Ovis aries: one gene and its partners. The protein of the gene in region 3 binds, or shares a complex with, the protein of the main gene of each other region. Links are inferred from orthologs where the notes say so. Each region holds a gene or a part of one and is shown on either strand. Other genes may lie near its edges.

The links. The genes of interacting proteins can lie anywhere in the genome.
Region 1: EXOSC7 (region 3) and EXOSC4 share a complex: the UniProt entries of both Homo sapiens proteins name them as parts of the RNA exosome core complex. The link is inferred for Ovis aries from reciprocal best matches to the Homo sapiens genes EXOSC7 and EXOSC4.
Region 2: EXOSC7 (region 3) and EXOSC5 share a complex: the UniProt entries of both Homo sapiens proteins name them as parts of the RNA exosome core complex. The link is inferred for Ovis aries from reciprocal best matches to the Homo sapiens genes EXOSC7 and EXOSC5.

Annotation. Positions count from the first base shown.
Region 1 is NC_056062.1:13,708,941-13,716,103, reverse strand, and holds EXOSC4 (exosome complex component RRP41), read left to right. Parts: upstream 1-3,414; 5' UTR 3,415-3,473; coding exon 3,474-3,644; exon of another isoform or gene 3,645-4,592; coding exon 4,593-4,799; exon of another isoform or gene 4,800-4,822; intron 4,823-4,896; coding exon 4,897-5,256; 3' UTR 5,257-5,305; downstream 5,306-7,163. Other genes in the region: GPAA1 (glycosylphosphatidylinositol anchor attachment 1 protein), read left to right, coding at 6,589-6,662, 6,884-7,063, 7,149-7,163. UniProt on the Homo sapiens protein: Non-catalytic component of the RNA exosome complex which has 3'->5' exoribonuclease activity and participates in a multitude of cellular RNA processing and degradation events.
Region 2 is NC_056067.1:50,091,782-50,099,172, reverse strand, and holds the start of EXOSC5 (exosome complex component RRP46), read left to right. Parts: upstream 1-3,233; 5' UTR 3,234-3,234; coding exon 3,235-3,568; intron 3,569-7,391. Other genes in the region: BCKDHA (2-oxoisovalerate dehydrogenase subunit alpha, mitochondrial), read right to left, coding at 2,815-2,922. UniProt on the Homo sapiens protein: Non-catalytic component of the RNA exosome complex which has 3'->5' exoribonuclease activity and participates in a multitude of cellular RNA processing and degradation events.
Region 3 is NC_056072.1:54,175,059-54,182,589, reverse strand, and holds the start of EXOSC7 (exosome complex component RRP42), read left to right. Parts: upstream 1-3,505; 5' UTR 3,506-3,539; coding exon 3,540-3,596; exon of another isoform or gene 3,597-3,842; intron 3,843-7,531. UniProt on the Homo sapiens protein: Non-catalytic component of the RNA exosome complex which has 3'->5' exoribonuclease activity and participates in a multitude of cellular RNA processing and degradation events.

The sequences.
Region 1 (7,163 bases), on a different chromosome or scaffold from region 3:
AAACATGTTAGAGGGGAGACTAAACTATCCTCTCTCTATATAGAAGGGGACATCATGAAAGTGTCACCTTCTTAAGAGGTGTATCCAAAAAGCACAGCAGAAACATGTTAGAGAAATATATCAGGAAGTTAATTGAGGACATTATGTTTGTTTTTTGTGTGTTGTGATGTTTGTGATATCGGTCAACTTTAAAAATTTGTGTTGAGACCTCCTTGGTGGCATAGCCAGTGGTTAAGAATCCACCTTCCAGTGCAAGGGATGCAGGTTGAATCCCTGGTCAGGGAACTAAGGTGCCACGTGCTGCAGGGAAACTAAGCCCTCAGGTTGCAAAGACCCAGTGCAGCCAAAAAAATATTACTGTTCCGTGTTGGGACTTCTTTCCTCACTCTGTTCCCTTAATTTTGGATATATGATCTTGTCCTACTTAAAAAGGGCCCTGAGATGGCTCTCCTTCAGAAGACAGTTGCAAAATTGCTGTTTCTGGGAACCTAGGTTTCAGGAGGGCTCCTGCCATTCCCCAGTGAGAGGGGCTCAAACCTCAACTCTTTGTACAAACAAATGTGCTTTATGCTGAACCCCTCCTTTCTTCTTTAGGAGTCCAGGTACATCCAGGCAGAGGCCTATGACTGTGACCAGCCCCTATGAACACCCTGGGCCCTGAGTCGCCAGTGAGCTTCTCTAGTGGCCAGCATGTCACGTACCATGTTGCAATTTGTTGCTGGGTGAATGGAGAGTGTCCCCTGAGATTCTTCAGGGAGAGGACTCTGGAAGGAGGCACCTGGTTTCCTCTGACTCTGCCCCAGCAGGCTTTTCCTTTTGATTTTCATTAACATCCTTTCCCCTGAATCCTGGTCATAAGTACAATTCTGTGTGCTGAATTCTTTTAGTTCTAGTAAATAACTGAATTCAGGGCCACGGCTGCTCTTGGGGATCCTCAACACAGCTCCCAAATCTGTATAAGCTTTATAGCCCTCAAACCTGAATCCACCCAGGTGTGTATGCTGTGACTAGAACACAAAGGCCAGAGAACCAAGGGGTTCTCATTCCTGAGGTGCCCAGACCTTAAACCAGAGATACTACTAGGGGTGGGGGCGGGGGAGGACACTTCCATGAGGGGCACAGTGAGACATGCAGTATGAAAAGAACAGCCACCCCCCCAGTCACTTTGGGCTTCTTAGGCCCAGAACCAACATTATTCTGATTATCCTGAGCTGCTAGGGCCAACCATGCAACAGGTGGGGCACCCAGGGGCTTCCACCTGTGTCAATGGACTACAGCAATCTTGACCTAGTAAGAACAGAAACACAAAGTGTCCACAGTGCTGAGAATAAGGCCTGTGTGACTCCACCGGTAACCTGCTCAGTCCAGCTGAAGAGCCGAGGGTGAGGGCACTGAGCCAAACAGAGGATGACGGCCATCAGGGCCATGGCCCAGGCGCAGACAAGGCCTCGTGCGGCAGTATTCCAGACCACCTTGGAGGGGTCACTGGGCCTGGGACTTAGGCCCAAGCCCACCACAGCACGTCTGTTCCACTTGCTCTTCCCACAACTTGACACTGAACTGCTCCTGTGGGCGGGGAGGGAGGACCATGTCATCTCCCCTTGAGCCTGGCAGACCTTGGTGACTGCCTTGACCCACAGTCTGGCAAGAGTGACACTACCTGACTTCTGGAGGCTAGGTCTTAGAACGCCACAAACACCCACTTTGTCTTGGGAGTCCACCTTGGTGCCGTGCTTTGCGGAAGCCCAGGCTGGATGGAGAGGCCACATGAAGATGTGCTCTCTCTCAGAGCCTCAGTTGAGCCCTGGCCAACAGCCACCACCTGCCACCAAAGACGTGAAGGAGGAAGGCTTCACGACAATGCCAGTCATCGCCAGTCACCAATGACCACAGACAGGAAAGCCCCGAGTGCACACCGCCCTCAGCCCCAGTGAATGTCGCCTCCCTATAGTCAGTGTCACAGCCCTGCTGATTTATCCTTCCCTATTCAAACCTGAAGCATGGGATCTGGTTTCTAAGCACTGCAGAGGGGCTGAATAATGCCCTAAAGTTGTGTCTGACTCTTACAACCCCATGGGCTATAGCCCGCCAGTCTCCTCTGTCCATAAGATTCTCCAAGCAAGAAGACTGGAGTGGGTTGCCATTTCCTTCTCCAGGGGATCTTCCCAACCCAGGTCTCCTCCACTGCAGGTAGATTCTTTACCAGCCGAGCCACCAGAGAAGCCCGAATAATGCAAATGAGGAGGGTAATGAGCTCCCTGATGGTGACCTTGACCACCAAGCAAATGGTATCTGGAAACAGGAGGCAGCTGTGGAGGAAAACATCTCATCCCCCCTCCTGTGAGCCCCTCTGCTGTTCCAGGGCATTTGACATCAGGCCACGAAATGCAAGAGGAATGGCAGTAACCCTCTGAAGAGGGAAGGATTATGTAAAAAACTTTTAACATTTATTCCAGGTGGGAAAGGACGGAGAATCTAACTCCCACACAGCCTTCACTCAACCCCGGGACACACATCCACTGCCCACAATGGGGTGGTTGCTGGGTACATTCTACTTATTACTTGATACTCGTATCAACCAAAAAACTATGAGTTCCACAGGATTACTTGGACAGATTTTATATTTTTGAGTTAAATGCAAAAGTGTATGAAACAATCGCATTTTAAAAAATAAGAGTTCCAAAGGCCACTATATGGCTGTACATGTACAGCTGCATATACACGTGTCTGTGTGTGACCTGGATGTAATTATGAGTGTGAAGAAAAACGGAGCCATTTTTTAAGCTATAGTAGATAGGGGGATGAGTGCAGAGAAACAAGGCAACATGGAAAATTGAAACTAAAAAATTTGACCATGTGTACGTACAACATAAATGTGTCTGCTTTTTAAACGGACAAATGTAAAAACTAAACGGTTTAAAGAAAAAAAAAAAACAACTGCGAACAGAGAGTGTATCTCAGCTTGGGAGAAGGCCTGCATTTATGACCGCGGAAGAACTTAAGACCAGCAGTGGCGGCTATCGCCCGCAAACCTCGAGGGAGATACCAAGCGTCAAGCAGAAGTAAAGGAGCGCCAGCGGCGCGGGAAGCGCGGGGCTCAGTGGAGAGGCCGAGGGAGAGGCGGCGGCGCGGGGCGGGCAGGCCCGGATGGTAGAGGGAGCCGTCCCCATGACCAACCCGGGAAGAAACGACACGGCGACTCCACGTCCGGCATGCCTCCAGCCCTGCAGGCGCGAGTGCGTACCCCAAAAGGCCGCAAGGGTCCCTCCCCGGGCCCACAGCCGCAGTTCCGCAAGGACCGGAAATGAGATGTGGTGCCCTCGGGAACTCTGGGAGAATCGCAGGGGTCCGGAACCGGAAGTCGGAGTCGGTGCCCCGGAAACCGTAGTCCTGGGGAATCGGAAGTGGGGAGTCAATTCTACCGGGAAGTGTAGTTCTGCCGGGCGCTCAAGCCTGGCTAGCGCCCGGGCGGCATGGCTGGGCTGGAGCTCCTATCGGACCAGGGCTACCGAGTGGACGGGCGGCGCGCTGGGGAGCTGCGCAAGATCCAGGCGCGGATGGGTGTATTCGCGCAGGCCGACGGTTCGGCCTACATCGAACAGGGCAATACCAAGGCGCTGGCGGTGGTCTACGGGCCTCACGAGGCGAGTGGGCGCGCGCGAGCCGGGCTTCCTCCGGGGGTGGCCACTACGGGCTGTGAGGGGCTACCTGGCTGAGTAGAGGCCTCGGGGGTGAGGCTGGCGCGCGCCGCCTTGTGGGGCCGCGGCCAAAGTCCTAACAGTGTCTTGCACGACGGTCCCTGCCTTTCTCCAGCGCTCGCTACACCGCTTTGTTACTCCTAAAACCGCCAGGGCCGCTCTCACTGGCTCCCTCACCTCTCAGCTCCACTCCGACGTCACCTCTGGGTGACACCTCACCCCATCCCACCCCAGACCACCTTACCTACCCTTTACAAGTCAAGTTCCCTCCTTTACATCCACACACTTATCTGGTTTCCCGCACCCGCCTCCTCAGACATCAGTTTAACTTATTTCTCACTGTTTGTCTCCTCACTGGAACATAAACTCCGTGAAGACAGAGAGTGTTAATAAAACCGCTTGGGTTTATCACCACTCCAGCGCTGGAGACTTAAGGCCAGAGAGGTAGAAGTAAGCATGGCACTCTTGCAGAGCAGAAAGACTGGTGATGGGGAAGAGGGTGGTAATTCCAAATGAGACTGAGGGATTTCTAGGGAAGCAGGAACCCAGGACCTTTGTAAACAGGGAAAAGATTTAGGATTTTTATCTCACGCGTGATGGGAACTCTTTATAAGGTAAGCAGTATATGTATTGTGCAGAGGAGGTAGAATCAGACTTGATATATGTAAACAGATTCTCATACAAAGGAAGCATGGGGTCGAGAGAGGACGAGTCAAGAGGGGAAACAGGGAGGCCTGTCAGGAGAGAGATCCAGGGACGATGGTGGCTTAGAGCCTGGCCCAATGGCCCTCCCTCGGGCTGTGTTGTTTTGCAGGTAAAGTGGTTGCTTGTTGGGATGTTGGAGGTAGAGGGAGGAAGGGCCTGGCTCATGTGTTCTCCCCCACCCTACCCCAGATCAGAGGCTCCCGGGCACGAGCCCTGCCTGACCGGGCCCTGGTGAACTGTCAGTACAGTTCTGCAACCTTCAGCACAGGGGAGCGCAAGCGGCGGCCACACGGGGACCGCAAGTCCTGTGAGATGGGTCTGCACCTGCGTCAGACCTTCGAGGCAGCCATCCTTACACAGCTGCACCCACGCTCCCAGATTGACATCTATGTGCAGGTGAGCAGGCAGCAGCCCTCAGCCTGTGGAGGGGAGAGAGAAAGGAGGAGTTGGGGTTCAGCAGCTTGAAACTCATGCCACTGGGGGGTTCCTGCAGGTGCTGCAGGCAGACGGCGGGACCTACGCAGCTTGTGTGAATGCAGCCACGCTGGCAGTGTTGGACGCGGGGATACCCATGCGGGACTTTGTGTGTGCCTGCTCAGCTGGCTTTGTGGATGGAACAGCTTTGGCAGACCTCAGCCATGTGGAGGAAGCAGCTGGGGGCCCCCAGCTGGCCCTGGCCTTGCTACCAGCCTCAGGCCAGATTGCACTGCTTGAGATGGATGCCAGACTGCATGAGGACCACCTGGAGCAAGTGCTAGAGGCCGCTGCCCGGGCTTCCCGGGATGTACATACCGTACTGGACCGTGTGGTCCGGCAGCATGTACAAGAGGCCTCTGTCTTGCTGGGGGACTGAGCACAGGGCCACCCAAGCCCAGAATAAAACCTAAGCACCTTTCACTGTACTTTTATCTCTTCCCCACCGCACTTCCTTGCCCTTGGATCCTGGCCTGGTGCTGGCTCTAGCAATGACTAAGGGTCCGCCCCCAAGACATGCACTACACACCCCTTGCAGCCTCAGTGCTGCTCACCCTGCTCATCAGGGTGCTTCAGGTGAGCACCCTGAAGAAGGCGGATGTCCCTGGATGAAGTGAGCAGCCTGGGCCAAGAAGGGATTGCTGGGCAGTGAGACACAGCCTGGTATAACGAGCCATGCCCCACGACCATGGAGTCTGTCATTCTCATCCCAACACATCCAGAGTCCTGAGCACAAGTCCTGAGGGGTGGCTTTGGGTATTCACTATGGTCATGTGGGGGCCGTGTCCCACATCCTCTGGATTGTGGCTGGGACTGAAGGGTCTCTTGCCCTCTAGAAGCCTTTTGGGCCTGTCCTGCTACTTCCCTTGGGCTCCAAAAGTACAACAGACACATAATGTCACCTGGCGTCTTCTCAGTCCTGACCCTAAGACAGACACTGCCTGCTGCCCCACCACTGCACCTTCCTCTTTCAGGCTCCCCCTTCTTCCACCTCAGACTTGACTGAGCCCTCACCACCAGGCCCTGCAGCCTGAACCAAGGGGCTGCTCCTTCTCTAATATCCCAGGCACCTCCTGGCCCAGACAGGGGTGCTTCCCACTTTCTACTCAACACACCCCAGCTCCTTTGAAACCCCTTGGCCAGTAGTTTCATGCACCTTCTTCCCTGTGGTCATCGGACCCCAGTGATCTTGGTTCTGGACACATGCCTGATTCCACTCGGCTGGTTTTGGTTATTGACATCCATAGGAATGGACCCACCAACCCCTTGGCCTCTCTGCGGAAGCCCCCTCACATCCTACCACGGCTGTTAGACCGGTCAGTGCCAGTGGGAGCACCTTCAGAGATCTGGCGTCTGTGTTCTTATCGCCGCTTCCGCTTTTACTCCCAGCTGCCCTATTCATCACTCTTCTCTGATTCCAGTTGGAGCCGAGCTTTCTCGGGCGGCCGGTAGTCTTCATTGCCTCCGGTGCGGCACACTGCGGGTAGCCTACCTGGGGGCCGCTCTCTCTGGACGGGCTACAGGCTGGGGAAGCCGGACCCGGCTTCGCTCCCTCCACAGCGGTTCTGCTCTGGGCATGCGCAGCGGCGCGAGGGCCGTCGGGACCGGAAGTACGGGCGGGCGCGGAGCCCGGGTCTGACAGGAGCGGCGCGCGGGGTAGGCTGCCGTAACTGGCAGTGGGAGCGCTGTCCCGGAGCCGCCCGGCCCTGCCATGGGCCTCCTGTCGGACCCGGTGCGCCGGCGCGCCCTCGCCCGTCTCGTGCTGCGCCTCAACGCGCCGCTCTGGTGAGGGCGGGGCCCCGGGGTCAGAGGCCCCTCAGACCGCTCGCGCCCGTCCCCTCCCGCCCACTGGGATCAGTCGGGGCCTCAGGCTTGGGGCTCAGCTCTCCCGTCGGGCGTCCCGGGACTCAGTCCAGGTCCCGCAGATATGCCCTCTCCACTCCCAGTGCAGAGACAGAGGCAGGGCCTCTAACGCTCCGGTGGTCCCTCCGTCTCTCTCCCCGCAGCGTGCTGAGCTATGTGGCGGGCATCGCTTGGTTCCTGGCGCTGGCTTTCCCGCCGCTGACCCAGCGCACTTACATGTCGGAGAACGCCATGGGCTCCACCATGGTGGAGGAGCAGTTTGCGGCCGGAGACCGTGCCCGGAGCCTTGCCCGGGACTTCACTGCCCACCGCAGGAAGTCGGGGTGAGCGGCCGAGCTATGGTTATCAGAGAAGCAATGTCAGTCAAGGCCAGTGAACTCTGCTCAGAAGCTCTCTTTGTGTCTCCAGGGCTCTGCCAGTGGC
Region 2 (7,391 bases), on a different chromosome or scaffold from region 3:
ACTCCCAACTGGGCAGGAGGCACTCGAGTTACCCCACCTGCTAAAGCTCAGAGAAGTGAAATGACTTGATCGAGATCACACTTGCTTCTTGGGGTGGTGGCTGAGAAAACAACTCAGGACTCCGGGACAATCAAGTTCCTCTTCTCCCTGAACAACAAAACGTCTGCTAGAAACAGGACTGAGGGCAGAACCAGCCAAATGCCTCCAGGGCAACGGGGCACAGCCTGAGTAAAGGGCAGTGAAAGGAGAGGCAAGCGGGGCGGGGGGGAGGGGGGGGGGGGGAGTGGAGAATGAAGACTTCCTCCCAACACAGCCTGCCCCAACAAACCAATCAGTCCACTACAAGCACAACCTCCCAACCTGCCTCTAAGATACTATCTCCTGACTCCACCCTGACTGCCTAAAACTGCATCATCCAATATGGCAGCCACCAACCTCTTCTAGCTATTTAAAGTCATTAAAGTTAAACGAGAATTTCAAGTGCTCTGTCACACTAGCCACATTTGAAGGGCCCAGGAGCCATGGGTGGTTAGTGGCTACTGTACTGAACAACGTGGATATCATCACAAAAAGTCAGCCTGCCAGCCTCCTCTGTCCATGGGATTCTCCAGACAAGAATACTGGAGTGGGTTGCCATTCCCTTCTCCAGGGGATCTGCCTGAACCAGGGATCGAACCTGTGTCTCCTGCATTGGCAGGAGGGTTCTTTACCATCTGAGTCACGAGGGAAGCTGCTACTGGACACACCAGATCCCAGATCTTTGAGTAAATGCTACTACTCTTTTCTCTTCTTTTAACACTTAAAAACAAGTGAGATAATTAAAAGTGGAGAAGACGAAACAGGGACTCTAAAAATACACGGAGAATTCCCTGGTAGTCCAGTGGCTAAGACTCCACGTTCCCAATGCAGGGGGCCCAGGTTCGATGCCTAGTCAGGGAACTAGCTCCCTCATGACACTAGGAAGACCCAGTACAGCCAAATAAATAATGAAAGACCACTTCCCCCTGCTTCCCTCCCCACCAACAGATCTCACTCAAAAAAAAAAAAAAAAAAAATGGGGGGAAGGCAGGAGGGAAGAGTAGCAAGGAGTGGAGCCAGAAAGGAAGCAGCTTTAATCAGCCGTGAGTGATGCTTTCCCTTCTCCCACTCAGTCAAGCTCACCCTCACTCCACAGGCTCAACCAATGGGCCCTAGGGATGGAGCTGTGGAGGATCTGATTGCTCAAATCAAAACCAAACCCCCACAGAGACCAGCCCAAAGGCAGGGACTCTCCCACCTCCCTCTTGCTCCAGTAACCTTTTTGAAATTACCTGCTTCAAGTAACTCCCTTCTTAGGTCTTCCCACACATTATTCACAGCCCATCCTCCTCCCATTTCTCCCTCTAGCAAGAGCTTCGCCCCAAATTCCATTTTCCTTTCCTAATGGTTTGGGATCAGATGGTCAGACCCAGCCCCACAAGGTCTGGACAGAATTCCCGCCAAGGCCTTCACCAATCCAGGCCTTTCCCAGGTCACCTCCCTTCTTCTCCCCCCATTTCCGAGGTGAGTTTTTGTCCCATCCCTCCAACCTCACTTTCAACAGTGGCTAACACTCCAATTGCCCTCATCATATGCCAGATCCAGTTCTTAGCACTTTACATATTTAATTTTCACAACAACTCTATGAGGTGACCATTGTTAGCATTTTACAGAGAGGAAAATCAGGTCCAGAGAAGAGCAGTCCCTTGCCCAAAGCTACAGAGCTAGAAAAAGGCAGATTACAGAACACCGCCTCACATGATTTAGCACGAGCCAATCTTCTTAACCACTACTCTGTTATATGCAAAATCTCAGTTCACAGCTTTTCTCAAGTCCCCTGCCTCTGTCTCTCTAAATAGTGGTTCCCATCTACATTTCTGCTGTGCGAGCATGCCATTAGCAGCATCAATCTAAAAGGAGTCTGCTCCTTTTGACAAGAAACAAGGCATTTCTCCACTGTTTCTCAGAAATATGGAGTAAGTGCTCTGCCAGGACCTCTCCCCTCATTAGTTCAACAAATATTCACTGATCACCTCCGCCTTAGAGTGACCAAAACCAACAAGGTCCTTGGCTACCGTTCTATACCGGAGGCACAGGCGCCACGACTTTTTATAAGTATTTTATCTTTATTTATTTGGCTGCACTGGGTCTTGCAGTTATGGCATGCAGGATTTTTAGCTGCAGCATACGAACTCTTTAACTGCCGGCACGTGGGACCTAGTTCCCTGATCAGGGATGAAACCCAGGCCCCCTGCATTGGAAGCGCGGAGTCTCAGTCACTGGACCACCAGGGAAGTCCCAGAAAGATTTTTTTTTTAACGCAGTTTATTTAAAAATCAGAATTGGAGCAAAGAAACACGGGGCACCATAAAAGTCCCTGAAAGGGCAACTGATGTCTCTCTCCTCCTCCTTGAAAGTAGACCGTATTGAGAAGAAAGTCTTTCCCTTACAAACACAATTTTCTCCAGCTCCTGAGGGGAGAGGTCACACCCTTCTCCCGTATTCTCCAAGCGGCCTCCCCTGGGGATGGGCGGCAATTAAGTAACTACCTCGCTCTCTCCAAGTTTTCTCCCTCCCTTAGGGTCACAAAGGAGCTGCCTGGCTTTTCTTCTCCTAAGGAAGTGGAAGTTATTCCCTTGCATGTCCTGTCCAAGTGGTTCTCCCAGCCCTCGTCCTTTCTCTCACAGCCCTTCCTTCACTTCCTACAGGGACCTAAGGGAACCCCCTCTCTCTGAAGACTGCATAAACATTCCTATACCTCTTTCGAGAAAACTTTCAGGTGCTCCAGGTACTCACAGATCTAGCCAGCCCACGAGCCCCAAGCAGCCGCAGGAGCGGGAGGCCCGCCCGTCCCAAGCCTCGACTTGGTCTCCAAACCCTCGCCGCCGCAGCCGCCACCGCCATCTTGGCTGACCATCCCTCGGAGATCCGCCCCTCTCCTCGGCGAGACCGGGGCTGCCCCTTCATAAGCCTGACTCAAATGCCAGCAACACCCTGCCAAGAAACCATACGCTACTAGTTCTGCAGCCTCTGGGACACACATGTAGGTGCATAAAGCCACCTAACTTCCCAAAATTACTCTGACCGCCTCACGTTAGTTATTCCTGTAACCGGCAAAGAAGAGGACAACCCGTCCAGAGCCTCAGGGTTTCAGGGCCGGGGGCCTCGGGTAGGACGAGCTCATGCCAAGGCCCGCCCACTCTTCTCTTCTGTCCAATGGCTTTCCTGGACTTTCGAGGCGGGAGTGGGAGGGTCCAGATTGTTAGTAAACGCCGAGCCACGTGCGGGCGCCACTCCTGGAGCCCCCGGGTCGGCGCGTGCGTACAGCGTACGCACCTCGTACGCAAGCGCGCGCTTCTGGGAGGAAGCAACAAGCCCCGGCTGCACGTGGGCTCCGGGGCTATGGAGGGGGCAATGCAGACTGAATCGAAGATTCGGGCTGATTCTCGGACAGAGCCCGGCCCTAGGGGCCCCGGCTGTAGCCTCCGGCACTTTGCCTGCGAACAGAACTTGTTGTCCCGGCCTGATGGCTCTGCCTCTTTCCTGCAAGGTAGGAACTACTAGGTTGTATTATTTGGTGGGGCGGGGGGCGGTTACAATGTATCGCGCTAGCTGGTAAAAATCTCTCCTGAACTAGTGCAGTTCTTGCCTGGGTGGACACTACTGTATACGCAGGTAGACATATATCTCTCCCTCCAGACTAGCAAGGAGAAGATTGTTAAAGTACGCAGAATGGGAGAGGGCAGACCGCTTCTAAAGAATGAATACTCCAGAATAGGGGAAATATTCTTACCCCGGGGTCTCCCTTGACTGGATTCCTCTCCGGTTTCCCATACACGCACCCTGGGTCCATACATCCCAGGCTGAGGCAAACCTGTTTGTTTGCATAAATACCCAGTGGACTGTCAGATCACCACTTCTGGTGTACTCCCTAGCCCGGTGGCAGATCTTTTATCCAAATAGTTACTTCTCAGATGGATGGTGATGTCCCCAGCCCCACCTCTTGGGTAAATGTCCCTTTGGCTGGGATACACAACTCTGCTTATATCCCTAAGATTGGAGCAGTTCTTACCTATTAGGGAAATATCCCCTTTTCCTAGCTAAACAACTCTGAAACTAGACTCAGTTCCCTGACGCCTCTGAGGGAAATGTTCCTCTGGAGATAGGCCTAAGGGTCACCCCCATAAATGCTTCAGACCCTGCTCTAGGGCATTACCTGAAACCCAAATACAAAACCTGCTTTCATTCATTCTTTCATTGAACATGTACCTTTGCTTAGTATTGTTCTGGACACTGAGAATAAGTAAATAAATTTTTTAAAAATCCCTGCGGTAACGGATTTGACATTCTTACATTCTAGTCAGAGAGACAGGCAAAAGATAAGTAAAATATGTAGTAGAAAACAAGAAAAATACAGTAAGGGTGTAGATTGGGGTGTGCCAGAGAGGGTTGCAGTCTTAATTAGGATGGTCAGGAAAGGCATCAACTGAGATGGTACCTTTTGAATAAACACTTAAAGATGGGACTTTCCTGGTGATCCAGTGGCTAAGACTGAGCTCCCAATGCAGAGGGCCTGGGTTCAGTCCTTGGTAAGGGAACTAGATCCCACATGGTGCAACTAAGAGTTCGCATGCCCCAACTAAAGATCCTGCGTGTTGCAGTGAAGACCCAGTACAGCCAAATAAAAAAATTTTAAAGCAGTTTCTTTCCCTAAAATTGGCTTTTTGCAGGGGGAGCAAACCCTAAACAGATCAAGAGGAAAGCTTATGAAGCATTAGGAACCACAGGGCCCTGAGGCCAAAACTTGCCTGGTGTGTTTGAGGGACAGTCAGGGGGACGGGGTGCCTGCAGCGGTGACAGGAGGTGGGGTGGCGATAAGGAGACCTGCCCCTCATATAAAGTCTAGTGACTGAGAATGGAGACTTGTGACATGCTCTGAATATATATTTTTTTTATAGATTTTAGACTTTCTGGCTGCAGTGTTGATGGCAAAGGGCACGGGGGAAAGGAGAGGAGGGTGGTGCAGACCAGAGTGGAAGCAGTACAGGTGGTGAGAGTCTGAAGGCAAACTGATAAATTGCAGCTGGTTTGGTTTGGGGGTGTGACAGGGTCAGTTTTTTACCCAGACCAGCTGTGCTGGGAGACAATGAGTTCAGTTGGGAACATTACATTTGCAAGGCCTAATAGACTCTCCCATGGCAGTGTGGATTCGGCAGTCGGACATACAAGGCTGGAATTTGGGAGTCCTTTGGCAGTTCAAGCTACTGATTGGATAGAATCAACAAGAGAATCAATATAGGTGGAGAAGAGAACTTAGAACTTAGCCCTTTGCCTTCTAGCCTGGGTGGAGCTAGGAAAAGACATAGAGAAGGAGCAACTAGTAAGGTAGGAGAAAAACCAAGAGAGGGCAGCGACCTGGAGCCCAGAGAACGTGTCTGAAATGTAAGGACCAACCGTTTTGGTCCGGCTGAGAGACTGAATCGTGAGGATGGACTAGACCTGTGGGTTGACAACCTGGTTGTCTATTGTAGGTGGTGCAGCCAAGAGTCACTCTGGGACTTCCCTGGTTAAGATTCTGAGCTCGTAGTGCAGGGGACACAGGTTCGATCCCTGGTCCAGCAAGCTTCACATGCCTTGCATCACAGCTACTTGAGCCCACACACCCTAGAGCCTGTGCTCCACCACAAGAGAAGCCAGTGCAATAAGAAACCTACATATCACAACGAAGACCCAACGCACAGCCAAAAATAATAAGTAAAATGTAAAAAAGAAAAAGCTGTTCCGGTGGAGGGGTGGAGTCGAGGAAAAGAAAGAGACAGTGAGCAGAGACCGCTCTTCAGGAACTTTGCTGTAAAAGGATAAGATAGATGGGCGAGGAGTTAGATGGATGTGGGGTCCACAGGGGAGGGAATTGCTAGAGCCATGGCCTCAGGAAGATGAGAAGAGAGGCACTCTTGTGCCCAGGTGAAGCACAGACAGTGCCTTTGGAGTAACAGGAAGGAAGACCCCGGTGTGGATCTATTTCTGCTTGGACAATTTCCTCCTCCAGGGTCCATTCTCCTGGAGCCAAGAGAGCCCCTCAGTTGTATAGCAGCTCTTCCTCGCCAGCCCCAGAACAAAAAAGCCTCTGCCAGGGACCTCTCCAGGCTTAGATCTCTTGCTCAGTGCAGGTGCCTGGAGGTTCTTAGAATTTAAGAAATACTGAGCCCCTTGTGTGTTCTAAAAAAGAAAGAAATACTGAGCCCCTTGTATGTTCTAAAACCCCAAAGCCCAGGACCCTGGAGCAGGGTCCTCTGCAAACCCTCACTAGACTCTCCAGTGAGGTTAAAAATGCCAAGCCCCAGAACCCACCTATGCCAACTAAGGCTAGCCCTCTTTGTCCTTATTGATTAGTTGCTCAGTCGTGTCAGCCAGGCTTCTCTGCCCATAGGATTATCCCAGCAAGAATACTAGAACAGGTTGCCATTTCCTCCTCGAGAGGATCTTCCCAACCCAGGGATGCCAGCCCTCTGTATTTTTAAATGATCTGCTGTAGCGATTCTGGTTGCAGGCCTGTGTTTTGAAACCGTGCTGGAGCTCCATGTCTTCCCACTGCAGGTTGCAGGTCCAGCTGCACATTAGAATGGCCTGTTGGAGCTCTGAGGCTCCCAGTGCCTTAGCCTCAGCCCCCAGCAATGGGATTAAGGCTCTCTAGAGGAGGGGCCTGGGCATCTAGATCTTTCAAAGTTCTGCAGTAAGCCCAGTGTGCATACGGGGTTGAGAACCACTGTGTTCACTAGTGGGTTTTTGTTTTTGTTTCCATCTTATTTCTGTTCTTTGGTCAGGTCAGGTGTTAGCTGTGGTGCATGGACTTAGTTCCTCCACGGCATGTACAGGCTTAGTTGCCTGATCGGGGATCGAACCAGCATCCCCTGTATTGGAAGGTGGATTCTTAACCACTGGACCACCAGGCAAGTCCCCTTTAATGGTTCTTTGTAACTGAAATATAGTAGAAAATCTCCGAGTACGTCAAAGCAGTAACAGTAAAGAGTTGTTTTGGGAGGCGTTCATTCCATTTATATCCACACAGATTTGTGTGAGTTTTGGGTCCTGAAGTGTATTTGAGTCTAAAATGTATTTCTTACAGGGAGTTAGGATCAGGAATGTTTGGAAACTGCTCTTGTAGTCCAGTCTACCCATTTTGCTGATGGGAAAACTGAGGCCCAGAGAAGTAAGCAAAATCAGCTGAGATTACAGAGCCAGGAGGAAATAAGCAGGTGTCAGGAGCCAGCCCTAGATATTCATCCGTTTCTCAGGTGTCCTGACTGCTACAGAGTTTGGGGACGTGAGCTAGAGGGAAGAGAACTCGGCCTCGGGGGAGCTTTGGAAGGAGA
Region 3 (7,531 bases):
TTCTTAGATATTTATTCTGGGAATAAGCACGTGGCTGGAATCTGGGTCTCCACGCCTATCTCAGCCCTCTCTACCAGATGCACTGGCCTTTTCTGCTGTTGAGGGCTCTCACCTACATTGAGTTAAGCTCTACTTGGTCTGTATGTAACCTTTCTCCTTACCTAAAAGAGCTGGCTGAAACAGACACGGGGCTTCCTACAAGCACCACCCTCAACATTCCCCTAGAGAAAGGAACACACCCCTTGCTTTCAGAATTAACACTAACTATAGCTTATATGGCATCACCACTCCCATAACAAATACGTTGTTTAGCTGCTCAGTCATGTCTGATTCTCTTTGGACTCCATGGACTGTAGCCCACCAGGCTCCTCCGTCCATAGGGTTTCTCAGGCAAGAAAACTGGAGTGGTTGCCATTTCCTTCTCCAAGGGCTCTTCACGACCCAGGGATCGAACTCACATCTCCTGCATGGCAGGTGGATTCTTTACCACTGAGCCACCTGGGAAACCTACAAGAAACATAAAGTGAAGTGTGAAAGCGAATGTTGCTCAGTTGTGTCCAACTCTTGCGACCCCATGGACTATACAGTCCGTGGAATTCTCCAGGCCAGAATACAGGAGTGGGTAGCCTTTCCCTTCCTCCGGGGATCTCCCCAACCCAGGGATCGAACCCAGATCCCCCGCATTGCAGGCGGATTCTTTACCAGCTGAGCCACAAGGGAAGCCCATAAGAAACACAGGCCTCCTTCAAATACTCTGGTGAATGAAATGAAAGGGGACACCTGCATAAAGGGGTGGTCAGGAATGCAGGTATGGGAGCGAGGTTGTCTGCTCTCAAATCCTGACTCTACTGCTTCCCAGTTATGTGACCTGGGACCTCGGTCAAGACAATCTCTCTGTACCTCAGTCTCCCAATCTGTAAAATAGGATAATAGCACCTGCCTCACAGGGCTATTGTTAATAGGACTGAATCAGTTAGTCTTTGTGAAGTGTTTCGGAACAGAGCTGGGCAGATAGTAAGCACTATTATGCTTCTGTTATTACTAGATATAATTAATAAGAATACAGAGATTTAGGACAGACGGACCTACAAATCAGCATGCAGCCAAAAGAATCTGACAGTGATGGGAAAACAAGCTGGTTAATAGAATAATATGCCATCCTTGGTGTTTGGATTTTCTGGCAAACGTACAGTCTTTGAACTGCTTCAGTAAACCAAAAAGAACTCTGAATTTATGGGGTTCTGAAATATCTAACGTATGATCACAAGAAATGTGATAAAAAATGTTCTGGCTGCATTAAAGTACAACAGTTAGTGAAGGTGTCACTAACAGACAGAAAATTTAAATTTTAATTTTTTAGCAGAAAATTTAAAACAAACATTCGATTGTTTGTATGTCTTATATCGATTTAGGCTAACATGTCAGACATTGTTTGTAATGTTATTTAGCAAATACTGCCAATCCTCCAGCAGAGAATCTTTAGTCATTTATCTGGGAAACACTTCAAATGTATGTTCTATAGTTTGAAAGACACACTGAAAGATTTTTACATAAAGATGATCCCATGGTATCCAAACCCAGAATTTTCTTTCCCTCACTTTTCTGATCTATTCGCTGCCACTTTTTAAACCCTCGCTCCTCTTCGATGTCCCACCTATTAAAATTTCACATCCGGGGTCTCTTCTTTCTGAGCGATCGAGCACAAGACACCGTTTCTAACACCAGAAGTGCCCTGTTATCTCATCACCCAGGTGCTCATTAGAATCCAGGTGTTCAATCACCCAAAGGCCTCCAGGCGCATGTGTCCCAACAGGTGGGGCACCTGTACTTTCATGAAGGAGGAAACCCTTCTGGGTTTACCTCTCCAAGTCTCCTGGAGGGCAGAATTCAACACTGCAAGACATCCTCCCTATAGGTACACCTGCAGAGAGTTACAGAGAGACCGGAAACAACGAAAGGTCCAGTCCACTAAGAAGAGATGATTTATTTGGGGGCTCGGCAGCTTAGGGCTTCAGAATGTGGGCAGGTACGTCCTCTCCATACCCTCTTCAGAGGGTATACAACCTCCCGGTCCCACTATGTTCACCGGTGCCACTGTCACAGCTGTTCACCCCCACGTTTATGCTGGGTCTGGAGCCTTCCCTCTGCCTGGGAGCTTCTCTGGGCAGAAGCTGTGTTTCACTTGTCTCAGTGTCTCAAAGCTAGCACAAAGCCCATCAACAGTAGGCTCCCAAGAGTTATCTGTGAAACTGTATTGAGGCTACTATCTGAGACACCAACCATTCTTTGGAGGATCAAGCAGTCAAGGGTTAGTTTCACTTCTGACAACAGGGAGGTTCCTCAAAAGTGGGGCACTTGGAAAAATCATCAGATCCCCTCGTTGCTACTATCCTTCTGGGTTAACTTTCCTCCATTTATCTACGTGGCCCCTTTAAAATCTGTTTCCTGCCTTATCAACCCCGCCTTAATGGGCTCCTTCAGTGACCCCACGTTCACCTTGCAGGTATCCTTTCTGGATATTCAAGGCCCATATTCCTACTTGGTCACGACTGGGGCCGGCATTTCTTTTTTTTTGTCCACGGTTCCCAGCGATCACCCGGTCAAGCCAGGGCTTCCAGTCCCTGCTGGGAAGCGCTGGGGACGCCGGGGCACTGCGCCCCCGCAACCCCCCCCGCCAGCGCTGACCAAGACTCTCCCTTCTACTCTCTTTGGGACAAAGCTCCGGCAACCATCCGGGACATGGGGATCCTGCAAGGTTCCGGGGCGGGGGTCAGCGTTCGGTCAGCCAGCCCCAGAGAGAGCGGGGGTGGGGGGGTGGGGGAATCCATGGGGTGCAGTTGAAGACGTCTCGGGACTAGAAGGGCATTCACTCCCGGCCAGATCCTTATCACCGAGAACGACCTAAAGAGGGCTTGATCGCTTCTTTCCTCCCCACCATCCCATGGGCCAGAGAAATACATGACATGAGGGCAGGAAGGAGAGCCAAGAGACAGCCTCTCTCAGGCCAATCGCGACGTCCGCCACCTCTCACTTGGGGTCGGTCTCTTTCTTCACACACACGCACGCACACGACCGGCTACTTCAACTCCAGCTCTGAGCAAACTGCGCCGCACGCCTCTTCCACCGCTACCCCTTCGAGCTCCGGCCCCGGCCCGCGCCTGGCGCCTCGCCCCAGCTTTCTCGCCGGATCCCAGTTTCCTCACCCGACTGACCGTGAAGCCAGAGGCAGTTCCCCAGTCCCAGCCCCCTCGGTGGGGCTCCGGCTGCCGCTGCCGTCGTCGCTCCCCTTTCAGCCCCCGACCCGGGACCCGGCCCTGGGCTGCAGCGATGGCTCCCAGGAACGAGGCGCCGCGGCTCCCTGGACTCGGCCAGACACAGGGCGGCGCGCAGGAGAAGCCCATCGAGCTCCCCGGCGGTGGTGGCGGCGGCAGCTGCAGGAGCGGCCGCCGCGCAGGCTGATGACGCATGGGAGGGGGGGTTGTGCCTGGCGGGGGGCGACGCGGGCGGATGACGTCAAGCGGCGGGGAAGGCTCGGCAGCATGGCGTCGGTGGCGCTGAGCGAGGCGGAGAAGGTGTACATTGTGCATGGCGTTCAGGTAGCGGCAGCGGGCAGTACTGGCGCCGGCCTCCGGGTTCCCTTGGCCCTGCGGGTCGATGCCGGGCCTCGGCTTGCCCGGAAAGACTGCGGCAGGCTGGGTTTACCTTTGATTAGACCGCTATGCGGCCGGCATGTGCAGCTCTAAAGCCGCCCGTGCAGGCGTCTTTGGGACCAGGCGGCGAGCATCCGTTTAAGACTGTATGCGTACTTGGATCTTTCCGGGTCTACAAGGTTCCAAGCTCGGGTAGGACGCGGTGGGCAGTCCCTGATTCTGTTAAATCCCCTCTCAGCCTTTGAAGGCTGAGCTGTCTCACTTTTGTTAGATACATGCTCTGTCATAGTTTTTAATCTCATTGAATTTTTGTTAAGTCCTGAAGGTGAGTGTTATGTCTGCTTTACATATAAGGAACTAAGTCAGAGAGGTTAAGTCAGTTGTCTGAGGTCGTAAGGTAAGTGTGTGGTGGTATTACCGCAAAACTGGGGTTTGACTCTTGGTCGTGAAAGTCGCTCAGTCCTGTCCGACTCTTTGCGACCCCATGGACTATTCAGTTCCTGGAATTCTCCAGGCCAGAATACTCGAGTGGGTAGCCGTCGCTTCTCCGGGGTTGACCCTTGGATGTTGAACCAAAAAACACAACCAAGCCAGAGAATGGGAGAAGGAGGAATTTATTAATTGCATCAAGTAAGGGGACTTTCGGAGGAGGCAATGGCACCCCACTCCAGTACTCTTGCCTGGAAAATCCCATGGGCAGAGGAGCCTGGTGGGCTACAGTCCATGGGGTCGCTAAGAGTCTGACAGGGCTGAGCTACTTCACTTTCACTTCTCACTTTCATGCATTGGAGAAGGAAATGGCAACCCACTCCAGTGTTCTTGCCTGGAGAATCCCAGGAACGGGGGAGCCTGGTGGGCTACCGTCTATGGGGTCGCACAGTCGGACACGACTGAAGCGACTTAGCAGCAAGGGGACTCTGGGAATCTTTTCAGAAGCAATGTCTACCAATAGCAAAACTGGAAAACAGGCTAAGGGCACGTGTATAGTCATGAAGGGGCTTGAGCAGAGGAGGAGGCCTAAAGTCGGGGCAGAGGTCAGCGGAGTCCAGGCCTTAGTTGATTGGAGTCACCAAGGGGACGGCTTCCCTGGTGGCTCAGCTACTAAACGATCCACCTACAGTGCAGGAGACCTGGGTTCGATCCCTGGGTTGGGAAGATTCCCTGGAGAAGGGAATGGCTTCAGTATTCTGGCCTGGAGAATTCCATGGACTGTATGGTCCATGGGGTCATAAAGAGTCAGACACGAATAAGCGACTGTCACTTTGCTTCACTTCACCATGGGGAAGAGAAGGGCAACACCATCTTCAGGTTGTGGCCACGTTGGGGTCTTATCCTGGAGTTACCATCCTTCAGCTGAGTGGGCCCCTGAGTTCTTGTAGAACAACTCGAAGGTTCGTATCAAACTGTTAAGTATATCCATTGAAGAAAAACTAGGGCTCCGTTTTATCTGAGAACTGTTGTTTCTTCGTTGCTTTTCCATTTTTTCCTGAATTCTGTAGTTCCCTCAAGATGATTAATTACCGTGACATGTTCAAGGGCAAGCATTGTGGCCAGGAGTAGATCACAAAAAGGCTGAGGACTAAAATGGCTTCCCTTGTGTCCAGAAAGCCATGCATGCCTGGTTGCCTTTTTCCGGAACCCCCCACCCTCTCTTTGTACAGTGGAACTGGGATATAAATCCAGATCTGACTGTAAAGCCCAGCTCAAGCCTTGTGCTATTTTCCCTTTTTAAAAATAGGCACCCAGAAATAAAAGCCAGGGAGAATGCCCACGGCTTCCACTTCTCTTTCTTTGCTCTGTCCTCTGAAAGCGCGTCGGCAAAACAGGAGCAGGGAGGGCAAGTTCTGACCCCCACCCCCGCCGCATTTTTCTAGGCCTTAAATAGTATATGGACATATATTACTATTACCTTTTTAGGTAATGTTTTTCCCACGTTGGTTCTAAGCTTCTTTAGAACCCTAGTTAGCATTTTTTTGTACAACTCTTGTTTTACTTACTTGTATCTGACTGGTTTTGTTTTTTAAGTATTTTGTTTACGTGGCTATGCTGGGTCTCAGCTGAGGGATCGTCAGTCTTTGTTGCAGCATCTGAGATCTTTATTTGAGACCTGTGGGATTTTAGTTCCCTGACTAGGATCCAACCCAGGCCCCCTGCATTGGGAGCACAGAGTCTTAACCACTGGACCACAAGGGAAGTCCCAAGCTGGTTCTTATATTCAGGAATTGGGGGCAGGTTTCAGAATTTCCAGAATTAGCATTTAATCTTCTTTTCAGGTTTGCTTAACTGGCTAAATGTGTGCTTTCTTCCTCCCTGGAAAGACATTGCTAACTTCTGTCTTAGCCCAGTAATTCTGAGACCTTGGAAGTGCCTTTTACTCACAAAATACAGCTTCCTGGGCTTTACCTGGATCTTCTGGATCAGAATCCTTGGGGCTGGGGCTGGGGCTGGAGCCTGGGAATGGGTATTTTCATAAATGTTGGGAGATTTTGATGCAGTCACTAGACATTGGACCTTGGACCAGCCACTGGCTTGGTCCAGCCTGCCTGGAGTCTGCTGTAGAAATCTTTGCCGCTCTGCCTGAGGAGTTTGTAGAAAGGGGGACCCCTTTCAGGGCCAGTGAGTAGGCTGTTGTCTAACACTTGGAAATGAATTGTCCAAGGAGACACACGTGCTGACAAAGCAAGAGACTTTATTGGGAAGGGGCACCCAAGTGGAGAGCAGCAGGGTGAGGGAACCCGGGAGAACTACTCTGCTGTGCAGCTCGCAGCCTCGGGTTTCACGGTGATGAAGTTAGTTTCTGGGCTGCCTCTGGCCAGTCGTCCTGACGCAGCATCCTTCCTGGTGGCGCACACATCACTCAGCCAAGGTGGATTCCAGCAAGGAGGATTCTGGGACGTTAGTAGTATGTATGGACTGGCATCCCCTCTCTCCTTTTGACTTTTCCCAAAAGGAAAAGATAGCAGTAGCTTATTAGTTCCGCATTCTTTACCAGGATGTCCTGTTGTAAGATAACATATCTCCTGCAAATGGTTATTATAGGAACCTTAATGGTCTGGCCAGGGCAGGTGGTTTCTGCCAGTGTTTCCCCTAACAAGGTCAATGGCCTCCAGCTTCTGTTTGGATGAGGACTTGGAGTGGACTGAGCAGGGCTCCTCCCAGCTCCACCATTCACAGTAAGAGTGTAGTAAGCTAGCTCCCCCTGTGTAAAATGAGAACACTTCTGTCTGGGGGACAGAACAGGACTGTGAGGAGTGACGAGGAAAGGGAACATGGACCACCTGGCGTGCTCTCAGCCCGGAAGAGACGCTGGCTCCCAGTTGAGATTTTCCCGTCAGAAGTGTGGCTTCGTCCAGAACCATCCGTACTGTATCTGCAGCCTTCACAGTGACCCCGTGAGGGGTTCAGCCTGTGGCTGTTGAGATTTAAGCTCTTTTTATTTGGGGAGATTGAGTTGGGTTGCAAAGAGTTGGACACAACTGAGTAACTGAACTGAACTGAGAGGTTATTAAATTGTTGGATGTAGCTGTCCCTAGGCAGCTCCTGGACACTGCCTCTCCGGGGCCCCAGCATGGATCACGTGTCTGTGTGGTTCTGCCTGCCTTTCTGTCTCTGGAGACACCCCTACTTCTCTCTGCTGCAGTGTCTCCCTTCTCCACAACCACTTGCTGTCAGGCTGCCCTCCACCTGGGTACACGCCATCTGCCCATCTTTACTTCTGTGAGGCCTCTCCAGCCTCCCTCCACATCATGACCTATCAGCTCCTCTTTAACTCTCTTTCCCTGCCAAGTATTTCCCAGATCAGAGATCAGATTCTAAGGAGAGAATCAGTTTCAGGCCCCAGAGAGCTGGCCACTCTCTGGCCTGCATGCTTTTGGGTCAGG